Linked DNA regions of Arabidopsis thaliana. The protein of the gene in region 1 interacts with the protein of each later gene in a pairwise test. Each region holds a gene or a part of one and is shown in the gene's direction. Other genes may lie near its edges.

What was found.
Region 2: the proteins of DWF1 (region 1) and AT3G54130 interact in binary tests that used the Arabidopsis thaliana proteins (3 or more experiments, as listed by UniProt).

Annotation. Positions count from the first base shown.
Region 1 is NC_003074.8:6,876,444-6,888,880, reverse strand, and holds DWF1 (cell elongation protein / DWARF1 / DIMINUTO (DIM)), read left to right. Parts: upstream 1-6,565; 5' UTR 6,566-6,669; exon of another isoform or gene 6,670-7,252; 5' UTR 7,253-7,264; coding exon 7,265-8,506; intron 8,507-8,602; coding exon 8,603-9,046; 3' UTR 9,047-9,357; downstream 9,358-12,437. Other genes in the region: NTMC2T5.2 (Calcium-dependent lipid-binding (CaLB domain) family protein), read left to right, coding at 1-235, 362-380, 495-700, 921-1,030, 1,143-1,241, 1,883-2,375, 2,455-2,543; AT3G19810 (BTB/POZ domain protein, putative (DUF177)), read left to right, coding at 10,069-10,622, 10,714-11,125; AT3G19800 (E3 ubiquitin-protein ligase, putative (DUF177)), read right to left, coding at 11,410-11,480, 11,587-11,632, 11,773-11,853, 11,938-12,027, 12,105-12,194, 12,297-12,437. UniProt on the Arabidopsis thaliana protein: Plays a critical role in the general process of plant cell elongation. Involved in the synthesis of campesterol, an early precursor of brassinolide.
Region 2 is NC_003074.8:20,037,490-20,048,950, reverse strand, and holds AT3G54130 (Josephin family protein), read left to right. Parts: upstream 1-4,370; 5' UTR 4,371-4,521; coding exon 4,522-4,776; intron 4,777-5,468; coding exon 5,469-6,056; 3' UTR 6,057-6,310; downstream 6,311-11,461. Other genes in the region: PTR1 (peptide transporter 1), read left to right, coding at 797-902, 1,296-1,513, 1,598-2,151, 2,232-3,066; AT3G54120 (Reticulon family protein), read left to right, coding at 6,818-6,887, 6,990-7,170, 7,235-7,446, 7,534-7,682; PUMP1 (plant uncoupling mitochondrial protein 1), read right to left, coding at 7,955-7,999, 8,104-8,190, 8,274-8,351, 8,435-8,539, 8,631-8,729, 8,812-8,945, 9,039-9,117, 9,218-9,433 and 1 more; AT3G54100 (O-fucosyltransferase family protein), read left to right, coding at 11,077-11,461. UniProt on the Arabidopsis thaliana protein: Interacts with key regulators of transcription and represses transcription. Acts as a histone-binding protein that regulates transcription. Acts as a deubiquitinating enzyme.

The DNA of each region.
Region 1 (12,437 bases):
ATTGGTCTTCGGTATACTGGTGGTGCTCGGATGTTGTTAATGCTCTCTTTAAAATTTGGTATCATCCCAGTAGTTGTGCCAGTTGGTATTCGGGATTTTGACATTGACGGTGAACTATGGGTTAAATTAAGATTGATTCCGTCAGCGCCTTGGGTTGGAGCAGCATCATGGGCGTTTGTTTCACTTCCAAAGATCAAATTTGAGCTTGCACCATTCCGATTGTTTAATCTAATGGGTATTAGTTAATCATAATTGTCTGTTGCTTTCTCATTATCTCCTTTGATTTTTATAATCATGTACATTAGTAATAGCTTTAATCATTTTCTTCTTTTTGCATGAATGCTTTGGATGACAACATCAGGAATTCCTGTTTTATCAATGTAAGTCTCCTCAATGTATTCGTTTTAGCTTCTTCTCTCTGTTGATTGTTTACTCTCTTCCGACGTATTGATAAATCAGTTTCTTTCCTCCTTCCTTTGCTTCATCTCTTTCAGGTTCTTGACCAAACTACTGACAGAAGATTTGCCTCGATTATTTGTACGCCCAAAGAAAATTGTCTTGGATTTCCAGAAGGGAAAAGCTGTTGGGCCTGTTTCAGAAGACTTAAAATCTGGAGAAATGCAGGAAGGGAACAAGGATTTTGTAGGGGAACTGTCTGTTACTCTTGTAAATGCCCAGAAACTTCCATACATGTTCTCTGGTAAGTCATATACTCACTCCTCATCTCTCTTCTTCTTCAGTTCATTGTTCTCTAGCAGTCTGTGTTGTTGTATTATTTATATATATCCTTAAGTATCTTTGAATTCTTAGAGCAATAAGAACTGCTATACTAATGCTTATATCACATATAGCGAATGCTTCATCACTTAAAAATTGCAAGTTCCTTCCTTCAGCACATGTTCTTTGATAATTTGTAACAGGTAGAACGGATCCATATGTTATTTTACGAATAGGTGATCAAGTTATCCGCAGTAAGAAGAACAGTCAAACTACTGTGATTGGGGCTCCTGGTCAGCCAATCTGGAACCAGGTTGAACTGCTCAATATATCTTAATGGCTTATTCATAATCTGGTGGTGGATTATAGTATATGCTGAATTCCTAAAATTTAATAGACTATTTCTGTATCATATATATGGTCAGGACTTCCAATTCCTTGTGTCAAATCCTAGAGAGCAAGTATTACAAATTGAAGTCAACGACTGTCTTGGATTTGCCGATATGGCTATTGGTATCGGAGAGGTAAATCATCTTTCTTTTTATCCCATTTGAAATCTGCAGAAGAATAGCTTGATCTGTTAACAACAATGATTTCATAAGATGATCATCTACTTCATGTTTGTTATTCATAGTACAAGAACCCAGTTCCATCCTGTTATTCTCTGCACAATATCTCAACTTAAGGGTTTGAATTGAGAAGATGAGACTGAGAACTAGCACCAATACTAATAAGATATCAGCTTGCTTTTAATTTATGATGTAAAAACTATGTGATTGAATGAGTAAGAGAAACAGTGAGTGAACAATTAGTTGCCGCAATGGCAATGGTTTCGCTGTATCTGTAGTAGCTGGTATTATGTGAGCATGTCACACCTCTTTTGAATAGTTTGTTCAGGGTACACACCCTATCGGTTATTGCTCTTCTTGTCAGTATTACAAAGGGCACCTGTATTCACTTCCAGTTTCAGCTACTAAGCAACCAATTCACATGTTTCTGCACAAAAACCTGACAACACATAATTATTTATTGGTGCTGTAGGTTGAGTAGTCAGCCCTGCTCTGATAACTTTTTCACTATAATCTCTACATAAATTACCAGGAAAATAGTGCTGAATAGAAAATTTGCTGTCTACATAACCTTACTACTTTGATTATACATCCAGGTTGACCTTGAATCACTGCCAGATACGGTTCCTACAGACAGATTTGTTAGTTTACGAGGCGGTTGGAGTTTGTTCGGAAAGGGATCTACTGGAGAAATACTACTCCGGCTTACATACAAAGCATACGTGGAGGATGAAGAAGATGATAAACGCAACGCAAAAGCCATATATGCAGATGCTTCCGATGATGAAATGTCTGATTCGGAAGAACCTAGCTCATTTGTGCAGAATGACAAGATTCCTTCAGATGATATTGGTCAAGAGTCATTTATGAACGTGTTGTCTGCATTGATTTTGAGCGAGGAATTTCAAGGCATAGTTTCATCAGAAACTGGGAACAATAAAGTTGATGATGGTGAATCAAGCGTGTCACCTGTTCCTTCAATGTCTGGGGCGGACTCAGAATCTCGACCAAAAGATGCTGGCAATGGGGACGTATCAGATTTGGAAGTGAAAAATGCGAAATCTGATAGAGGTTCTATTAATAATGGAGGTATATCGAGGCTCTATTTTATGATGAATTTGTTTCTATGGTTGCTTTGTCTAAAACTATTAAGCTTTGTTAATTTCAGGATTAGCATTATTGTGGTTCGGTGTAATCACTTCTGTACTGGTGCTCGTTGCTATCAACATGGGCGGCTCAAGTTTCTTCAACCCGTGACATGGTGTTGTATGGATAATTACGATTTCTTTTGCCAAAGTAAGTATGAACCTCGAAATGAAAACTTTGTAAGTTATGCCTATGGTTGCCAATATCAGTTGACTTCACTTGAATATATGTATGGAATCTCTGCATATAGTTGAGGATCGGCCTTGCAATCTTTTTGGAATCACTTTACTGTTTTTCGCTGGATTTATGCTGGGTGTAGTTTCTGTTTTGGCTTATTATGTTTATACCGTTACTCGAAAATAGGTGTCACTTAGATAAAACTATGTAAGTTGAAAATGATGAACCTAATTTTCTGTAATTGAGACATACTGAGTACCTAGCATACAATTTACGCTAGAAAGTTAAAAACCAATGTATTGTTTTGGAAAGATTGTGCGATTTGGCAATGGTCAGGTGAGTCTTCTATACAATGTGGCATAGTCCTGTTCTGCTATTTGCATTTGTTAGTGTCCCATTGTTGATTGACTGACCAAAGCCTTTTATGTAATGGCAGGTTGGTTAATTTTCTCTTCTCGGCCTCAGAGATGGCGTATAACGAGGTCTCAGTTTTGTGTTTACATTCTAGTGCTGTTGTATGCATTTAGAAGAGGGGCGCTTATTGGCGGCAGAAAGTTTTAGGGTCCATTTCACCCAATCTCTTACAACTGTGATCAACGTGTATACCAATGGTTTGTTATAGTACACGAATATTTTATTCAAATAAAGATTTTTTTTCTTTTTCTGAAGGGATTCCATAACACATTGCACGAAGACACCTGATATTAGCAGTCACTAACTTTAGGATTGAGAAAAGTGTTCTCCAAGAATTCTAGGTGGAAGTAGTAATGAGTTTTTCACTTGGCCTTTTTTATTCCTTGGTTTTAGTTTTTTCCATATTGTTAGCTACAACAACTTTAATATTCTGCCATGGATATGCCTTTCTGGAGGAGGAACAAAAAGTTCATGGAGATATCGATGCGCAGAGCCTAAACAAGGTACATTCATCTTCTTTCTGTTTTTTGCAATGTTTTGCTGGTTTCCTGGCTATTAAACTTTGTCTTGCTAGATCATGTTAGGGAGAGGTTAAACTCTTCATAACTCTCAAATATCTAATATCGTTTCTTCCCAATCAACTCCTACTTATTAGCCCATCGCCTATCTAACTCACAATATTTTGCTTGAAAATTCATTGCAATATTTGGTTAGAAATAGTGTTTCACAACCTGTAACGAAGGCAAAGAACGCTGTTTATAGGCTATGATTGCTTCTTTTTTGGTGTATGCGTTTAGCAATTTACAGTATTGTGTAACAGTTTTGTATGCATGCATCGTTTTCCCCATTAGGATCAGTTTAGCAATTTTGTTCGATGTTACTAAGACTGAACTATGGTTAATTTCAGGGAACCAAGACAAAGGCGCAAGAAAGTCTCCTTTCTGGTCGTTTTCTTAATCTATTGTTGAGAAGTGATTTCTTTTCAATATTGATTGTTGAAGTAACCCATTTGAGTTAAGTTTTTGAGTAGGGTAACAATGTATCGTCTAATGAAAAGCCACTGAAAACGAAACGATCTGTCTTTGGAATGATTGATTGGTATTGCTAAAATCATGGATTATATATAATGCTAAACAAGAATGCTACCAACAATTGAACGTGTCCCCGATGTATTAGACTATTAGTTAATTGCACGTTAAGAGTAGATCTACACTTATTATAAGAAGTTAAGTACATGCAATCAAACAGAAGGCACAACAATTTAAAATAAAAACTGGATCGTGGGTGCATTAAACAAAGTGATTTTGTTTTCCATTCTCTTTTAGCAAGAATAGTAATAAAATGGAAGTGGCAGAAAACAAAAATTTGAATAATAAAAAGGGATTAATAAGAAGTGAGAAAAAATGGAGAATTAGTAATAAAATTACAAAAAATGAGGAAGAGAAATCACGTGAAGGAGTTGAGATCACGTCAGGCACATGTGGGGAGTAGGACAGTCCTCGTTTATAGATTTGTTATCTTCAACTCTCCTCTCTTCGGTTTCTCCGTTCTCTTTTGTCTTTTTCTTTCACCTTTTTTTTTTTTTTTAATTTTTTTACTTCAAGAGAAGTGTTTAGTCATAATACGCTTCAATCTTAACAAATCATAATTTATGTGGGTTGTTGTCTCTGGCTTCTTCACACTTTTTTAGGTACTAATGGAATGGACAAAGACGGTTTTTGTTGATGCAGAAATGACGCATGGGTTTATTTGGCGTTGGACCAAAGAGTAATGTCTTTGTATTTGGATATATATATAAACAAATTGGTGTTTCTTGTAATGTAAACATTGGTGTGATTACACGACCTTGTAACGGTTTAAAACTTTGTCAAGCGTCAACCAAATTTTCACTGACGTCAAACTGTCAATGTCAAAAGGTGTGATTCGCCAAATAGACATTTATTTTTCCATACTACAAAAAAATGATTTGTAGCTGTAAATGTGAGTAAGAAATTAGTTGGCATATTTTAAAGAGTAAATATATTTTATGAGAGATTTTGCAAGAGCTGGATATTTTCTCAGACAGGCCATCATCCCTGTAATTTTTTTTTTCTTTCTATGTCAAATAAATAAATAATTACTTTTTGGCGACAAAAAAAACTTTTTGAGCACTTCATTACTTTAAAGTGTAACCATTTTTCTAAATAAATCATGATTTTATTTGCTTTTCTAAATCAACTATTAAAATACTTAGGTGGAAATCAAATAATTGGTTACAGTAACAGAATTATATATTGAGAGCCTTTTTCACCAAATAACGTGATAGTTTGTGTGTTTATTACTGTATTATGTAGGCACTGATAATGATACAAATGATTTCATATATGAATTTTGATGAAAAGCATGGCTATTGGGATTTGGGAAAACATTTCTCATCACAGCCGTAGTTTTTTTTTTTATATAAATAAGAGGCATTTTATATAAAATTTTTTACTACACATTAGTTTCTAAAATACTACATTGTAATCTGAATAAGATGAAAGTGAATGACTAATTCACAATTGTTTTGGCTTAAAAAAAACACTCATTTGAAGATCCCTTAAGAGTTGAGAGAAAGATATAAGGAACTCTCATTAGCATTCATAATGTATAATGTTTTCAAGATATTTTAGGCAGTGCTTTTTTTGCTTCAATCATAACATATCAAAACTAAATGTTAAAGATTGTTGTAATAACTATTATGATAAGAAAAGTTGTAATGAACTTTTTGCCAATAAACAATATATAAGATCGTCGGCTTAGTAACCTCACGAGGATGGAATGTGCTTTAGGTACATCAACAAACATGTAGGAGGACTGTTTCGCTAAAAGCATTTAGAAAACAAAAATCAATACAATCAACCCATAAAATGCATTTAAAAAAAAAACGAATTGGACAATTACATTTCCTTCATTGGGCACATGTCTTCCTGTAATTTATTGTGATTTACATACCAAAAGAAAGATATATTTTTCTATTTAAAAGAAATTTAAACTGCTAAGATTTGTTGCCTTTTTTTATTTATTTGCTTTTACCTATTTATAGCAGTAAACTCTTTTCAGAAAAAATATCCCTACAAAGAATTTGTCCTCATATTCCTTTTATATGCTAACTGCTAAGTAAGAAATTATATTTTGGAAGATATGTCTAATTAAGCTCTAGGTTCGATTTACATATAATTTCTAAATGTTAAAAGAGTTGGTAAAAATATATTAAATACTGATATAAGTAAAAACAATTTATTTTTATTTTCTTACATCAGAATTATAAACTAAAAAATTGCTCATAAATATAACACATGTGATTTATCAACATTACAACTAACATCGAATTTTTAATTGCGATAACAACAAAGAAACTTAGAAATATGAAAAACCACTTATACAAACCCATGAAAAATATACATTATATATTTCTTAATTTCTATATTTTTGCGTTATTATTACCTTTTTTATTTTAAAATTATATAAAAAAATGGGAAATAAAAAATACCTTGTTTTGAGCGAAAAATGCAAGTGAAGCAGGCTGGCTTGAATCACGTTTTATTATAAAGACAAATGCTCTCACACTCTTGGGGACACTTTCACATCTCATCCTCTCACTCTCTCTCTCCTTTGGATTCTTCAGGTACTCTCTCTACCTCTCTTTCTCTCTCTGTCTCAGTCGCTGACTTATCATTTCCTGTCGTTAGATCTCTCAGTACTTGGTTCATAGTTGTTTCATAGCACGCACTAGTGAACTATGTGGGTTTTTTAATTTTAATCATCTCAGTCTTGGAGAATTTCAAACAAAGTTTCAAACTTTGCTCACCAACTTTTATTTATTTATTTTGGTGGTAGAAAACAGACTTTGATGGCTTTGTAGGAATACTAGATGTGTAGATCTAAAGATTATAACCATTTTCTGTGTTCTTGTTCTTTCAGAACATAACTTCATGTCTTTTTGTCTCTCTGTTCACTAGCTCTCTGTTTCCATGGACTCCACACTATCTTCTTCTTACAGATTTATTTCATACACATACACTGATACACATGTGTGTATACGTATGTGTTTATGTGTGCTTATTATACTCTTTTTGGATTCAAGAAACTAATCTTTAGTATTTTTGACATTCTGGTAGATTTATGCTCACTTCTTAGGCCTTGTTGACTTTTACAGTGATGGATTTTGAAACTCTGGTTGATTTGATTTTCTTTTTGGTTTGATGCAGTGAGGAGAGGAAATGTCGGATCTTCAGACACCGCTTGTGAGGCCCAAGAGGAAGAAGACTTGGGTTGATTACTTTGTCAAGTTCAGATGGATCATTGTCATCTTCATCGTCCTTCCATTCTCAGCCACATTCTACTTCCTCATCTACCTCGGGGACATGTGGTCAGAGTCCAAGTCCTTTGAGAAACGTCAGAAGGAACACGACGAGAATGTCAAGAAAGTCATCAAAAGGCTTAAGGGTAGGGATGCTTCCAAGGACGGGCTTGTCTGCACTGCTCGTAAGCCCTGGATCGCTGTTGGAATGAGGAACGTTGACTACAAGAGAGCCCGGCATTTCGAGGTTGACTTGGGGGAGTTCCGTAACATCCTTGAGATCAACAAGGAGAAGATGACTGCTAGAGTGGAGCCTCTTGTTAACATGGGACAGATTTCCCGTGCTACCGTCCCAATGAACCTGTCTCTCGCTGTTGTTGCTGAGCTTGATGACCTTACCGTTGGTGGACTTATCAATGGATATGGTATTGAAGGAAGCTCTCACATCTACGGTTTGTTTGCTGATACCGTTGAGGCTTACGAGATTGTTCTTGCGGGTGGAGAGCTTGTCCGCGCCACAAGGGATAATGAGTATTCTGATCTTTACTACGCAATCCCGTGGTCGCAAGGAACTCTTGGACTCCTTGTAGCTGCTGAGATCAGGCTTATTAAAGTCAAGGAGTACATGAGACTCACTTACATACCAGTCAAGGGTGATCTTCAAGCCTTAGCTCAAGGTTACATTGATTCTTTTGCTCCCAAAGACGGTGACAAGTCGAAAATCCCGGATTTCGTCGAAGGCATGGTTTACAATCCAACGGAAGGAGTGATGATGGTTGGAACATATGCATCTAAAGAAGAGGCAAAGAAGAAAGGGAACAAAATCAACAATGTGGGATGGTGGTTCAAGCCGTGGTTCTACCAGCACGCGCAGACCGCCCTGAAAAAGGGACAGTTTGTTGAGTACATCCCAACTCGTGAATACTACCACAGGCACACAAGGTGCTTGTACTGGGAAGGGAAGCTTATTCTTCCATTTGGTGATCAGTTCTGGTTTAGGTACCTCTTAGGTTGGTTGATGCCTCCAAAGGTCTCTCTTCTTAAGGCCACTCAAGGTGAAGCTATCAGGAACTATTACCATGATATGCATGTTATTCAGGATATGCTTGTTCCTCTTTACAAGGTTGGCGATGCACTCGAATGGGTCCACCGCGAAATGGAGGTAAAACTAAAAGCTCGGTTTCATGATTGATCATCTTCTAGTTAAAGTTTCTTTTGATGTTATTAACAAAATCATGAATTGTTTGTTCTCTTTCAGGTGTATCCAATTTGGCTTTGCCCACACAAACTCTTCAAGCAGCCAATCAAAGGCCAAATCTACCCAGAGCCAGGCTTCGAGTACGAAAACAGACAAGGAGACACAGAAGATGCACAGATGTACACTGATGTTGGAGTCTACTACGCACCTGGCTGTGTCCTAAGAGGTGAAGAGTTTGATGGATCAGAAGCAGTGCGTAGGATGGAGAAATGGCTGATAGAGAACCATGGATTCCAGCCTCAGTACGCGGTGTCTGAGCTCGACGAGAAGAGCTTCTGGAGAATGTTTAATGGTGAATTGTATGAGGAGTGCCGCAAGAAGTATAGAGCTATTGGAACGTTCATGAGTGTTTACTACAAGTCCAAGAAAGGAAGGAAGACTGAGAAAGAAGTTAGAGAAGCCGAACAAGCTCATCTCGAAACTGCTTATGCCGAGGCAGATTAAGTAATAATAAGCCTTGGTTTGATGTAATGGCTCGGGATGATTATTGTTATTCCTAGTAGTGTCTGTTATGTTGTTGTTTCCTAATTTCAGTTTTAGTGTCTTGAAGACTCTTGTTGTTGTTGTTTGCTTCTTGTTGTTGTTTGACTCATTCTGGTTTGAGTGGATTTTAGAGTTTAAAACTTTTGGATTTGCCTATGAAATTGAAGGTTTCCGGTTTTATCGTGTTGCTTGACTGTCACAATGTAAGCATGTTGCTGTAATGAATTAATTGATCTACCAATTTGAGAGATCATTTCAACTTCTCTCTTTATACCACCACCAACTAGGCTTTAGATCATTCACGACGTGAATCTAAAACACTAAAACCCGACTTTGTTAGTTTTATTGGGGTGCGGTTAGGTTTGATATAAACCTGGAAATACCGGTATTTGAACCGAAGTTGACCGGGTGAGACTTTTTAGGATAAACCCAAGCAGCCATTTCCGAGTAAGAAGAGCTCTGTTTCTGAAAGAAGTTTTACAGAGTCGATCGTCTAAAGCGTTGTTGAAGCACTTGTTAGTGGTAAGTAATTTCGATTTATTAATTCTTGTTGTATCTTTTGTATTCGAAGTTACTTGCTTGTTTTTCGATTTCGTCTCCGTCATGATGTTTGCGGCTCTGTTAATTGGAAGTGGAAAGGTCTGTCCTTTATCTACATAAAATGGTGCATAGAAGGTGTTCGACCAAATTCCTAGCTCAAATTCCTTTAGTTACATTAGCTCTGACTGGAATGTAACTGTGAAGTCTCGATACCCAATTCATTCTTTTCAAAAACAATTGAAGATTATTATTTCCCTTCTCAAGATTTTCTGTCTTTTCTCTATTGTTGACACTATATCAGCAAATGTTTCTTGCAGGTGCTCTGTTTCAAGCTGGATAAACCCAATCCTATTGGGATTTGGCTGGATTTTATACCATATTTTAGCATGATTGTTTGATAAACGCTTGATAAATTGCCTCTTGTTGTCACCTTTGCTACGAAAATGTCTCTGGTTTGCTCTTTATCTTGTGTAGCTCCCTTGCCACAGACTAAACAGTCGCGTCCAAGTTTTCTGAAACTCGAAACATGTACCTTAAGTTTATCTTCTCCCGCTGGCTATCCTAATTTTACCACCGGTATTAGGAAGCATATCAGTTACTTGTTCACTGAACCGATCAAGCTTCCTAGGCTAGCAAAGAGTCGGATATTAGTTAGTCAGGAGTCTTTTACAGAGACCAGCACAATAGATATGGATTGGGAAGATCAGGAGGAAATTGAGGATACTGGGTCACCTTGGGAAGGTTCGGTTATGTATAGGAGAAATGCTTCAGTTACACATGTTGAATATTGCACTACCTTAGAGAGGCTTGGGTTGGGAAGGTTGTCAACAGATGTCTCGAAGAAGAGAGCTTCTGCAATGGGACTTAGAGTGACAAAAGATGTCAAGGATTATCCAGATGGCACACCAGTTCAAGTTTCGGTTGATGTCATAAGGAAGAAGAAGAAGCTGAGACTTGATGGAATTGTCAGGACTGTTATCACACTCGGCTGCAACAGGTGCTTTCTTATGAACTCATCGAAGCTTTTTTACTTTATTGTGATTGCATCAACTTTGTTATTTAACGGGTTTTCTCTTATGTGTTTGAAGATGTGGTGAGTCAACAGGTGAGAGCATCTTCTCCAACTTCTCGCTATTACTAACCGAAGAGCCAGTTGAAGAACCCGATGTCATTGATCTAGGATTCACATTCGGTAATGACAAAGAAGAAGGCGAAGATGATGATGATAATGATGATTCATGGATAGATTGGGAGGATAAGCTTCATTTTCCACCTGAGGTGAAAGAAATAGATATCTCAAAGCATATAAGAGACTTGGTGCATTTAGAAATCACCATCACTGCGATATGCGATTCTGCATGTAAAGGAATGTGCTTGAAGTGTGGTGCGAATCTGAATAAGAGGAAATGTGATTGTGGCAGAGAAGAGAAGGATAAAGGATATGGACCTCTCGGAAATCTTAGAGAGCAAATGCAACAAAAAGAGGGACTAAGGAACTAAACTCAACTCAACGATAATTGTATGTATTTTCCTTTTTACATCTTCATCTTGTTGGTGTTACTGTCATAAAACTCAAAATCAGGTACAATAATGTTCAAATGTGAATCTTAAGTAGCTATAACGTTTTCATTATCTCATTCATATGATTTTTATTTAGAATCAATCATTACATATTCTTGTAAATGTGTTTTTTATTTTGTATATATTGGAATATGAACAGTATCAAAATCTTTTTAAGACTTTGAAGTACATTGAACAGAGAGATTCAAAGAATAAAAAGGTTTCTACTTCTTCTTAAGTTCAAGTAGTCTTGACCATCTCTTATCGACAGAAGCTGTATTTGTCTGACCAACGTCTGCAGAAGCAATTGAGAAAACGAAAACTCTTTAATCCTTTCGAATATTTTACTAACATGTCATGTGAAAATAGGAAAGAAACAAAACCAACAGAATGTTGCTTACAGTGCAGTGTTGGTTCCGATTTTTCGCAGGAATCCGAGCATATATCCTACAATCAAACAACAATATAAGTGAAACAATCAGACTTCACAACCAAGATTTATAAAGCCAAGAGATGGGCATAATCGATCTAAGGTTTTGGCCTTGTGGATTCCATGAAACTTGGTAATAGTTTAAACAGAGTCTTACTTTAGCATAAGTTGTGAGGCGGATAGTGTCTTGCACAAGGGAATCAAGGTTAGCTTCATATCCAGGTCTGACATATATCACCTGCCAACAGAGACTTTTATTCATTCCACTTGTTGAAATGCAAAAATATATATAGAGAGCTTATGATGTTCTAAGGGCTCTCACCGAAGGATCATCGCCGCCAATTTCTGGCAGTGTTGAAGCTCGATTTTCCCGGCTTGATGGCAAAATCCAGACGGTGAAACTTGTATCGATCTGGTCACAGATATTTCATCAAAACAGTTTCTTGCGAAAGGGTTTTTGAAGAAACCCCTTTAGAATGAAATAGTTACCAGTCGAGGATAAAGAGAAGAGCAAATGCTGCACTTTCTTGCGATAGAAGTCATGATTCTTCCATCTACTGAGAGGCCCATGCTCGCGTGCTAGACAAGTAACAACACTAAATGATTGATTAGGTAAGAGAGAAGACAGCTTCTAATATTCAATCACTGTCACAACAACATAGTGGTGGAGAAGATAGTTACCCTTTGGACAGAGAGGTCGACAGAGACACGGGAATTGGGAGGGCCATCTTCAACAAGGTCTTGGAGTTGAAGATCACGCAGAGAGACATCGTACTGAGTCTTCCAATTTCCATTCCATTTGCCTTCACTAGGAGATAAAGT
Region 2 (11,461 bases), about 13 Mb from region 1:
ATGAACTCAATTTTATAAGAAAACTCCAAATCATCTTATTGACCAAAGTGTTTGTATTCACACTTGTATCTTTCTTGTTTTGAGTAGGAGTTCTTTCTTGTTATCTTTCTGGTAATGTCAATTCCGTAATATCGGATAAAAAACAAAAAGAGTCCACTAAAGTTTTGGTGGATGATTAACACGTCCTTCGATATTGATCTATTTACACTTTGGAGTCAAAACAAGATAATATCAAAATCTGATAGCACAATAGGCCTTGCGGCTCTAACTGAAATATACAAAAACTCAAAGGGTTAAACTGCAAACATGAGAAGAAAAGTGAGCAACGCTCCTTTCTATTTCCTTGGATATAAAAGCTGTACGGGACCAGAGCTCTGCAAGTCTTTTTTATAAGCTCATGCTCATTATTACTCCGACAAGTGCCGTGTAATTCCTCGCCCTCGGCTACTCTTTTCTCTTCTTGCCTCTCGTCTCCGCCGCTGATTCAGCTGCCGCCGACAAAGGTTTCTCCCTTTTTTCTAAGTCTTTTATGAGTTTTCCTTTCGTTACAAGTTACAACCATAACCTCATCTGGTCACACATAAACTATAATTTCAGAGCATGAAAATTTCGTACTTGCTTGCTTCATCTGCATATTTCGATCTAAGCATCTACTAGTCAATTTCTTTCACGTATATTTTTAAGGGTTTTCTCATAACCTTATACCTGAAGTATGGATCTCTAAATTGGGGATCTTTAGGTATGTGTTTGGTACATCTTTCTTGAAAAAGCTAAACTATTTTTCTTTATTAGGAATATGGAAGAAAAAGATGTGTATACGCAAGATGGAACTGTTGATATTCACAAAAATCCTGCAAACAAGGAGAAAACCGGAAATTGGAAAGCTTGCCGCTTCATTCTCGGTAACGTTCTAATCGTTTCACCAATCTTTTTCTTCATTATTGCCGTATAGGACCTGGACCAGCTTAAGTAATGGCCTCTCGTGTCCCCTGTTTTTTAAGGTCCACTAAAAACATTTACATGTAAATAATAAATGTAATGATTAAAAAGAGATTATATACGATTAAAAGCAAATTGAATGATAGAGAACAAATAAAATTTAAAATATTATTGGAAATGTTTAGTTTTGTAGGGTGATCACTATGAAAAAAGAGTTATAAACCTAAAATCTGCTCTGTTTTCTTCAAAAAAATTGTCTAAATAAAGAAAGGGCCATTATATTTTTTTATTATATAGCTTGGGCCCTGATTGGATCTATCCATATAAGATTAACCAGTTTTATGTGTTTTGTGTAGGAAATGAGTGCTGTGAAAGATTGGCCTACTATGGCATGGGCACTAACCTTGTGAATTATCTTGAGAGCCGTCTGAATCAAGGCAATGCTACGGCTGCAAATAACGTCACGAATTGGTCTGGAACATGTTATATAACTCCTTTGATTGGAGCCTTTATAGCTGATGCTTACCTTGGACGATATTGGACTATTGCAACTTTTGTTTTCATCTATGTCTCCGTGAGTTTTACTTGTTTCTTATCTTTTGGTTAAAAATGTGAATCTTTTGGTTAAAACTAATTAAGTTTGTTTTTTCTCTTGAAGGGTATGACTCTTTTGACATTATCAGCTTCAGTTCCTGGACTTAAACCAGGTAACTGCAATGCTGATACTTGTCATCCAAATTCTAGTCAGACTGCTGTTTTCTTTGTCGCGCTTTATATGATTGCTCTTGGAACTGGCGGTATAAAGCCGTGTGTTTCGTCCTTTGGAGCTGATCAGTTTGATGAGAATGATGAGAATGAGAAGATCAAGAAAAGTTCTTTCTTCAACTGGTTTTACTTCTCCATTAATGTTGGAGCTCTCATTGCTGCAACTGTTCTCGTCTGGATACAAATGAATGTTGGTTGGGGATGGGGTTTCGGTGTTCCAACAGTCGCGATGGTTATCGCGGTTTGCTTTTTCTTCTTCGGAAGCCGTTTTTACAGACTTCAGAGACCTGGAGGGAGTCCACTTACTAGGATCTTTCAGGTTATAGTAGCGGCTTTTCGGAAGATAAGTGTTAAGGTTCCAGAGGACAAGTCTCTGCTCTTTGAAACTGCAGATGATGAGAGTAACATCAAAGGTAGCCGGAAACTTGTGCACACAGATAACTTAAAGTAAGAAACTAAAGTTTGAATCTTTATCCTAACTTCAAAAATACTCTGTTTTCAAATCTAAAGTTTTGAAAACATCTCAGGTTTTTTGACAAGGCAGCGGTTGAGAGTCAATCTGATAGCATCAAAGACGGGGAAGTCAATCCATGGAGACTATGTTCTGTTACTCAAGTTGAAGAACTTAAGTCAATAATCACACTTCTTCCAGTTTGGGCCACAGGAATAGTCTTCGCCACAGTGTACAGCCAAATGAGCACAATGTTTGTGTTACAAGGAAACACAATGGACCAACACATGGGAAAAAACTTTGAAATCCCATCAGCTTCACTCTCACTTTTCGACACTGTCAGTGTACTCTTCTGGACTCCTGTCTATGACCAGTTCATTATCCCGCTGGCAAGAAAGTTCACACGCAATGAACGAGGCTTCACTCAGCTTCAACGTATGGGTATAGGTCTTGTGGTCTCCATCTTTGCCATGATCACTGCAGGAGTCTTGGAGGTTGTCAGGCTTGATTATGTCAAAACTCACAATGCATATGACCAAAAACAGATCCATATGTCGATATTCTGGCAGATACCGCAGTATTTACTTATCGGTTGTGCAGAAGTTTTCACCTTTATAGGTCAGCTTGAGTTTTTCTATGATCAGGCTCCTGATGCCATGAGAAGTCTCTGCTCTGCTTTGTCGTTGACCACGGTTGCGTTGGGGAACTATTTGAGCACAGTTCTTGTGACGGTTGTGATGAAGATAACGAAGAAGAACGGTAAACCGGGTTGGATACCGGATAACTTGAACCGAGGCCATCTTGATTACTTTTTCTACTTGTTGGCAACTCTCAGTTTCCTCAACTTCTTAGTGTACCTCTGGATTTCAAAACGCTACAAATACAAGAAAGCTGTTGGTCGAGCACATTGATCAAGAAACTGGTGTGGAAGATATTTGGAGTTAACAGTATTTGTTTGAAAAGTGTTTTGCTTGTAAATGTTTTTTGTATGTGGTCTAGTTGTTGTTGGTGTGTTAGGTTTGTTTTGGTTTTGCTTATGTATTTCTGAATACTTCCAGTCTTCCACTTATATGTAAAAGGCTATTGGTAACTATTTTATGAGCTTTTTGCTTAAAGCTTTTTGACCGTCTGATAATATGTCCTCCTATATTTTGCCATTGCTCTTAAGAAACTTATTATATACATTGGAAGTTATAAGCAATAAGCTGGGAAATAAAATCAAAAACTAAACAACAGCATGGGAAATCTTAACAAAAAGCAAAGCACATAGGATCCTATTGTCAATACATATGTAAACTTACTACTAGACATTAAACAAAGAGATCAAGTATTTTCTTCTGTTTCTTTGAAGATGTCTTTACTTTTGACTATATATCTGAACTGTTTGGAAAATGCTCAAGATCAGGATGCATAAGGAAGCCCCCTTGGCTTCTTGGAGGTTGTCTAACAAGATTGAGACAAGCAAGCGTCAAAAACAGATTTTGATTCTGGGGTTTATTTGTTCAGTAAAACCCATGGTTTATATATATATAGTCAGAAACAAGCTTTTTATTGAGCTCAACTATATGCACATAGAAAAAGAGAAAGTTTTTTTGTCATTTTACGAATGTGGTGGTGCGATGAAGCCAGGTTTGGTCACTAAATGAGCGGAAGCGGAAATAGCCAGCAGGACTATCTGGAAATGAAACCAAACCTAATCATTTAACAAAGTATAATCAACTCTAGCCTTGCAATTATATGGCTAAGAAGGAAAAATTTAGACCATAATAAGAGTTTAGAACAAACAGGTAGAAGTAGTAGATGTATTACCTTGATGAAAGAATCAGAGGGCGTAAAAGCTTATACAGAATCTCATTCTTTAAATCTGTCACTAACTTATCTAAATTCTTAAACTGTTCACGGACATTGCTGCTAGTGCTCTCAGTAGTATAATTCCTAACTCTGTATTAGTGCTCTCAGACGTGGTTATTACGAAATGCAGGCATAAACCAACCCGATCATACCCATCACATTATCAGAAGTCGCCATCAAAGAGATCACCAGAAATCTTGGGAAGCAAGGAACCTAAGTTGGTCTGTCAATTTTGAGATAATGGGCCTATCTCAAAACAGTATCGGGCTCGTCTGCAAAATAAGAAAAAGGCCTAGAAAGTCGGTTATTACACGTGGCATCCTTTTATTGTATATTTACTTTTCCGTCCCTTACATTTTCTTATTTAAATAATCTGTTAACTTGCTTCTTCTTCTTCTTTCTTCATCTTCATCTTCATCTTCGCTTCACAATCTCTTTGAGACTTTTGCATCGGAGCAATAATAATATATTCATCGCAAAATCAGTGAATTTTGATATTCAAATCTTAATCGGCGATGGAACGAACAAGCAACGGAGGAATGTTGTATCACGAGGTTCAAGAGTCAAATCTGTGCGCCGTACACTGCGTCAACACGGTGTTGCAAGGGCCTTTCTTCTCTGAATTCGATTTGGCTGCCGTCGCCGCCGATCTAGACGGGAAGGAGCGTCAGGTTATGCTTGAAGGTGCTGCCGTTGGAGGTTTTGCTCCCGGCGATTTCTTAGCTGAAGAGTCGCACAATGTTTCCCTCGGCGGCGATTTTAGTATCCAGGTACGAATTCGCGATGAAATTGATAAATCTTGAGTTGCATTCAACATTTATATATTGTAAAGCCTTTTTGTTATTGTGTTGTTGGAAGTTTAGGCAAAATTAGGGTTTCGATTTTATGGTGCTTTTGATTGCTGTGTTTATGCTGAAGTGATAAACTTTTGAATGGTTGGATTCGTTTTTAGATAGATTCAAGAAGAATTGAGATCAGTAATGGTGTGAATTTGCGATCTTTACTTTGGGTTAAAACTCATTTGTTGAAGGCTAGTTTCATTGTGCGAACATTGCTATGCTGATAAATGGAGGAACTTGAGATGATTTTTTTTATCTTGGGACTCAATTGTTTTGGATATGTTAGTTATTAGTGAGGTTCTGTATATTCAATTATCATCTTTTGTTTCTTGGATAGCTTTAAACCGAGTTGGTTGATAACTTGATATTTGATTAGGTTGCTACAAAAGTCAGGTTTGATTGCAAGATTTATGTATTGAGATTCAAGGGTATAGTATGGTGTTTTACATCACATTTTTAGATATCTAAAATTAAAGCTATTTTAACGGATTACGTTGAAGTTGGATGCGGATAAAACACTGCAAACAGAGGGTTTATGCGATTGGTGTAGCATTTTAATCTTGCAAAGTTGATCTAGTCTTTGCTTATTCGTTTAACTGAGAATGCTTCTGTTTGATTGACAGGTCTTGCAAAAAGCTTTGGAAGTGTGGGATCTACAAGTAATTCCACTCAATTGTCCAGATGCAGAGCCTGCGCAGATAGACCCTGAGCTTGAAAGCGCCTTTATCTGCCACTTGCATGACCATTGGTTTTGTATAAGGAAAGTGAATGGCGAATGGTATAACTTTGATAGTCTCCTTGCTGCCCCGCAACATTTATCGAAGTTCTACCTTTCTGCGTTCTTAGACTCTCTCAAAGGCGCAGGATGGAGTATCTTCATAGTGAAAGGAAACTTCCCTCAGGAATGTCCCATGTCGTCTTCTTCTGAAGCTTCCAATAGTTTCGGGCAGTGGCTTTCTCCTGAAGACGCAGAGAGAATAAGAAAGAACACGAGCTCAGGTTCTTCTGCCAGAAACAAGAGAAGTAATGACAATGTTAATCAACAAAGACGGAATCAGGCATTGTCACGTGAGGAAGTGCAGGCTTTTTCAGAGATGGAAGATGATGACTTGAAGGCAGCAATTGCAGCAAGTTTGCTTGATGCTTCTGCTGCTGAGGCCAATCTCGGAGCTGTGGGCACTTCTGAAAAGGAAACTGAGAAACAAAAGTAGCAGAGAAAATAGAGAACAAGTGTTATTGATGGAGGTGGTGGGATATTCACTTTTGTTTCTTTGTTTTGGTTTGTTATCAAGAGTTATCAACAATTTTACATACAGAACAGAGAAAGAAAAAAGCTTACATCGAAAGATAGAAAACAGAGGATAATAAATGGTTTGTGGAATTGTTTTTGTTTGATTTTTTTACCATATTAAATTCTTCTGACAATCTTAAATTGAGGATAAAGATTCGACCTTTTCGAATTCATAGGAAACTACATCTGAAAAGGGTACATAAATTACTTCAGTTGACTAAAAGTAGATGAATGACCAATTTAAATGTGTTCTATGGAAAATATAAAAGGATGGTGTAAAATTTGATTCATCTCTAAGTACAATCTGGCGAACTTTTACAGTTTGAAAAAAACAAGAAGGATAACACTTTTAGGCTGGAAATAAAAACATCGAGAGGACAACAAACACCTTCTTTTTCCCTAAACAGAGCATAGCCTTTGAATTATTAATTAATTATTTGTATATTCAAAGTTGATGGCTTTGATGATGATGGTGATGACCCAACTTTAGTCTCTTCTTCACTTTTTATTTTTACTTTCTTTGTGATACATCAGGTTCCTTCGATTCGAGCCTTTAGGATTTCCTTTCACATAATGATCTGTTTCTGACATTCAGAGAAAGATATACATATCTGGGTTACTTTTGGGATCTGATCATCTGAGGAAATCTGAATCCAAGTTTGCTCTGATCTTTCTTCTCAAATGAGTTCTTCTTCGGACAAGTTGTTCAACAGAGACAGGACAATACATGAGATTCTGGGAGGAGGCATTGGTTAGTGAATACATTTCTTTACCAAATCCAAAACTTATAAAAGCTAGGTGATCTCTCACCTCTATAGCCTTTTTTTTTTCTTGTTATGAAATGAATCTGCAGTTGCAGATGTGATGCTGTGGAGGAAGAAGAATGTGAGTGTTGGTATAGTTACAGTGACAATAGCTTCATGGATGGTGTTTGAGGCATTTGCTTACACTATCTTTACTCTTATTTCAAGTGTTCTTCTTCTCTTGCTCTCTATTCTCTTCCTCTGGTCCAAATCTGCTTCCATTCTCAACAGGTATATTAATATTCACTTGTAACTAATATTACTTCATTTCTGATTCAATTTCTTGGCTCTTCAGGCCATCACCGCCGTTACCGGAGTTTCAAATAAGTGAAGCGATGGCGGAAGAAGCTTCGATATGGTTACGTATTCATGTGAACAAGCTACTCCAAGTTTCGCATGACATTGCAATGGCAAGAGACTCAGAGTTGTATACCAAAGTAGCAGTGTCACTGTTTCTTCTCTCATTGATCGGAAGTCTCATGGATTTTCAGACACTTTGCCACACCAGTAAGTAGATATTCTAAAACTCCTATAGACTTGGAATGCTTTTGAGCTGGATATTCATTTTGTGGTTGTTCTTGGTTAATTTGGCAGGCGTTTTGGTGGTTATGACGGTTCCAGCTTTCTATGAGAGATATGAGGATTACATTGTTGGCTCTATTGAGTTTATCTGCAACAAAACTAGAGAGCTTTACCTTAGACTCGAGATATGGGCTAATCCGGAAAATAAGAAACTGAGCTGAGATGCTGTCACCTCTTTCTTCTTCAGGAGTTTCTTTTTCTGATTTTTCTCGGTTTTGTGGAAAGAAAGGAGAAAAATGTATGATTTTTGATAAATGTTGGATGGTACAGCCAATATATGAGCAATCCACAGAAATTTTATTTCACAGTTTTACTCGAAAACTGAATCTCTATTCCGAAAACAATATTCGACCAAGTTCTGGCCTCTCTCAATCACCGAAAATGAAGAAGAAAACAATGTTGCTCTTATTCCCTCTGCTTAAAACTATGTGTCTCAGTTTCTTTTGGACGCATCGAGTTCCCGGACATACTTCTTTGCCTGGATTAGAGTATTAAGAACCCGGATTAGAAAATGAGAAAGAAGACTTTGCGTGACCGATTCGAATGCGATTGCGATAAAATAAAAATTCTATCAGTTGTTACCTGTTCGAGGGTCAAAAACATGATTACGTTCCATGAGCCAAGGCGTCCAAAGTTGGGGATGAAACCCTTGTAAAATGCCATAGGACCCTGTAGAGGAAACCGTAAAGAGTTTGTAACATTTTCTGGGTTATATCTAGAACAATGGAGGTATCAGAAGCAGAGTTGCTTACGTCGCTCTTCAGAGTTTTGACGAAGCAGTCAATGGTGCCCTTGTAAGCACCAGAATCTCCCATCATTCTTGACTTAACCTGCCACACAACAAGATTTAAGTAGACAATCAGGAAACGTGGTGAATAAACTCAAGGTTCAATGTCATGAGTAAATACTTTACCACGTCGACAGGAGAGCCGATGCAGACAGCAAAGAATCCTGCTCCCAGTCCAGATAGAATATGTGTGACAACGTTGTCAGTGAAACCCGGAATCTTCAAGATCGTCTGAACACAAAAAAAAAAAGGAATGTTGGTTGCTTCAAATATCAGGATCTCTTATTTAGAAAGAGAGACAGAGAACATATTAGTTTCATACCTCTTTCACTTGATCGTAACTCGCTAATTCAGCAGCATTGATAATAGCGTTTCTTGCTACGTTAGGTCCAAGACCAGTCCAAAGAGCTCGGACTCCTTCCTGTCAGAGCCACATTAATAAGATATGAAGTAGAGTTGAAGCAACTTATGCACAATCTCAACTTCCAAGTCGGGATAACTACCTGTCTCACAATTGTTGAATAAGCATTCAGCGCTCCAGAATACCGTCTTGGCGCACCTGCAGCTAGTTTTCCTTCGGCCTGAAGCCTAACTTTCACAAGATCAGTGGGATTTGCTACCATGATACCCAGTGCACCTGAGAGTTAGACAACAAAAACAGCCCAACTAAGTGATAAAGAGGAAATATATATTACGTGTTTTTTCTAAGCTGGTCTATCGTTATGCTCACCTGTTGTCAAACCAGCAAGAATTTTCTTGCTCAATGGAACATCACCTACAAAGTCTTTTCCAACATACAAGTTTTTCACCTGAGTAGAATAAATTGGTTAAGGCTTTAAGTAGTAACTAGGAAAACACTGAGTTTAAGCACTTTTCTGGAGCATGAAAGAAGAAGAATTTGTAACCCACCGGCTCATACATTCCAATCCTAAGACCTCCAAATAGGCATTGACGATGCAATCCAGGTACAACACCTTTCCATAGTGAACGTAACCCTTCTTCCCTTGCTATGGTACCAACAGTTCCCAACAATCCTCGATATTTAGGCAGAGTAACATCACCAGCAAGAGCAGACTTTTGGAGCTGAAGCCTAACTTTAGCAGTGTCCAATGGAATTGTGCATACCTGGTCCAGAGAGTTTAATTGCATAAGAACAGAATTATCTGACGAAACAACACAGCCAAAGAGAAGATACATGTTGTTCTGAGGATAATTAAACATTATACAGTTGCGTTGCATAGCAATCACAATGATCAAATAGATTCCATTTTCAAGTCTCATAATCATTTCAATGTTTCGCAAAATCATATCTAAAGCATAAATCAACAACACTACACATGCCAAAATTCAATTTCTAGCCACAGATCTGACCGATTATTCCGAGATCAAATCATTTCTATCGGAATTACGTAATCTGGAGAAACACTATAGAAGCTAAAATCAAAATTCTCCAGCTATACGATGATAAAGACAAAAAAGACAAAGATCAACCTGATCAGAACTTCACAAATACCAACGAAATTCGAAAATACATTTCCGCGTATAGCCAACAAAGTCTAGATCGCGACACACATTTCTCGAACGAACAAATAGTTTTCCGGTACAATCGAAGCATACTCAGCGATAAGAAAAATGGAGTTAAAAGAGATGAAAAATTGAGGAATCCGGCGATTACCTCGCCGACGCAAGCAGCGAAGGCACTGCAGGCGAAAGTTTTGGGCAAGGAAAGGTCGGATTTACCAGCCGCCACCATCTTCGATCCAGAAAACGCGAATTAAAGAGAGGAGGTTAGGGTTTCGAAATCGAAGAACAGAGAAGAGATAATATCGGGAAGAGGGACGACGACGATTACGGCTAAAGCAACTTGGCCTCGAGTAGTGTTTCAGTTATAGAAAAGATCGTCCCTCTCTCTCTCTCTCTGCGCGCTACGAAATGAGAAAGGAGTGGGCGCTTTACTTATTTATACACACGTGTGTGACGACCTGTTTTGTTAAATAGTATCATCCATCGATTATGTTGCTTTCACTGTCTGAAGAAAATTCCCAGTCAAATAAATGACACAGCACCACGCTGGATCGAATTTACTTTTACTAACTACCTCTCTAAATAATTTCATTTCTTTTTAATCTCTAATCCGATTTTTTTAAGTTCTAATAATTCCATTAGTTTAACATCGTGAGAGGTCGAAGTTTTGTATATTTGGTACAAAGTTGATTAGCTTTGTAGCAGTGGCAATAAAGTCAGTGCGTCATCTTCTAGGTCTACTTCACATCTTCGTCACAATGCAGAGTGCCCTCGATGATAAAAAGTTTAAGTATCATAAACTTAATCATCATAGGTTAGTATCTCTTAGCTATTTCAAAAGAACACGTTAATCACTCTTTTGCCTATATTTGTTTAATCTAAACGATATGACAAATTATATTTATACACTAACATCCAAAAAACTATTCATATAAAAAGATGTGCTACAAACGTGACAAACTCTTGAAAATTATCCATTCACATCATACATAAAAAATGTAAAACCTAAACAAAAAAAATGATTAGAACAGTCACATAAATATATAATTAGACACACTGGCGAATATAAAAAATTCTGAAAACAAAAACTCAGCTTCGGCGAATTTCACGGTGACGGTGACTATACCAGAAGATACATACATGGTCAACTACTTCCTCCAAAACCTAAAAATCAACCCTCTCTCTTCTTTCTCTATCTCTTTCCTTTTGTCTAATCTTCAATTCCCTATTTCACCGGCGACGATATGTCAGTCGTCGGAGCGATTAACCCCGTACCAATTGCACCCACCACTCGCCGCCGTGTTGGCGATTCTCTAGACGTTATCTCCGAACGACCCTCGAATTCATCTGATTACTGCAATACAATTAACCAACCCATCGTTGGATCAACAGATTTAGACGGAGGAGATGCGACTGGTCAAGACTCGTCACCATCTTCGGAAAGCTCTGCTTCATCTACTGGATCTCATTACCATCACGATCACTACCACCGATTTTACAGTCATCCGGTGATTCGTTACCTTCTCCTCCGAAAATTCTGGATTCCGTTTTATGGTGGTGCATCGACGGTTGTGATTGGTCAAGGGTTTAGATCGGGGAGAAACGTGGGTCGTCGGATCTTGGGTCTTC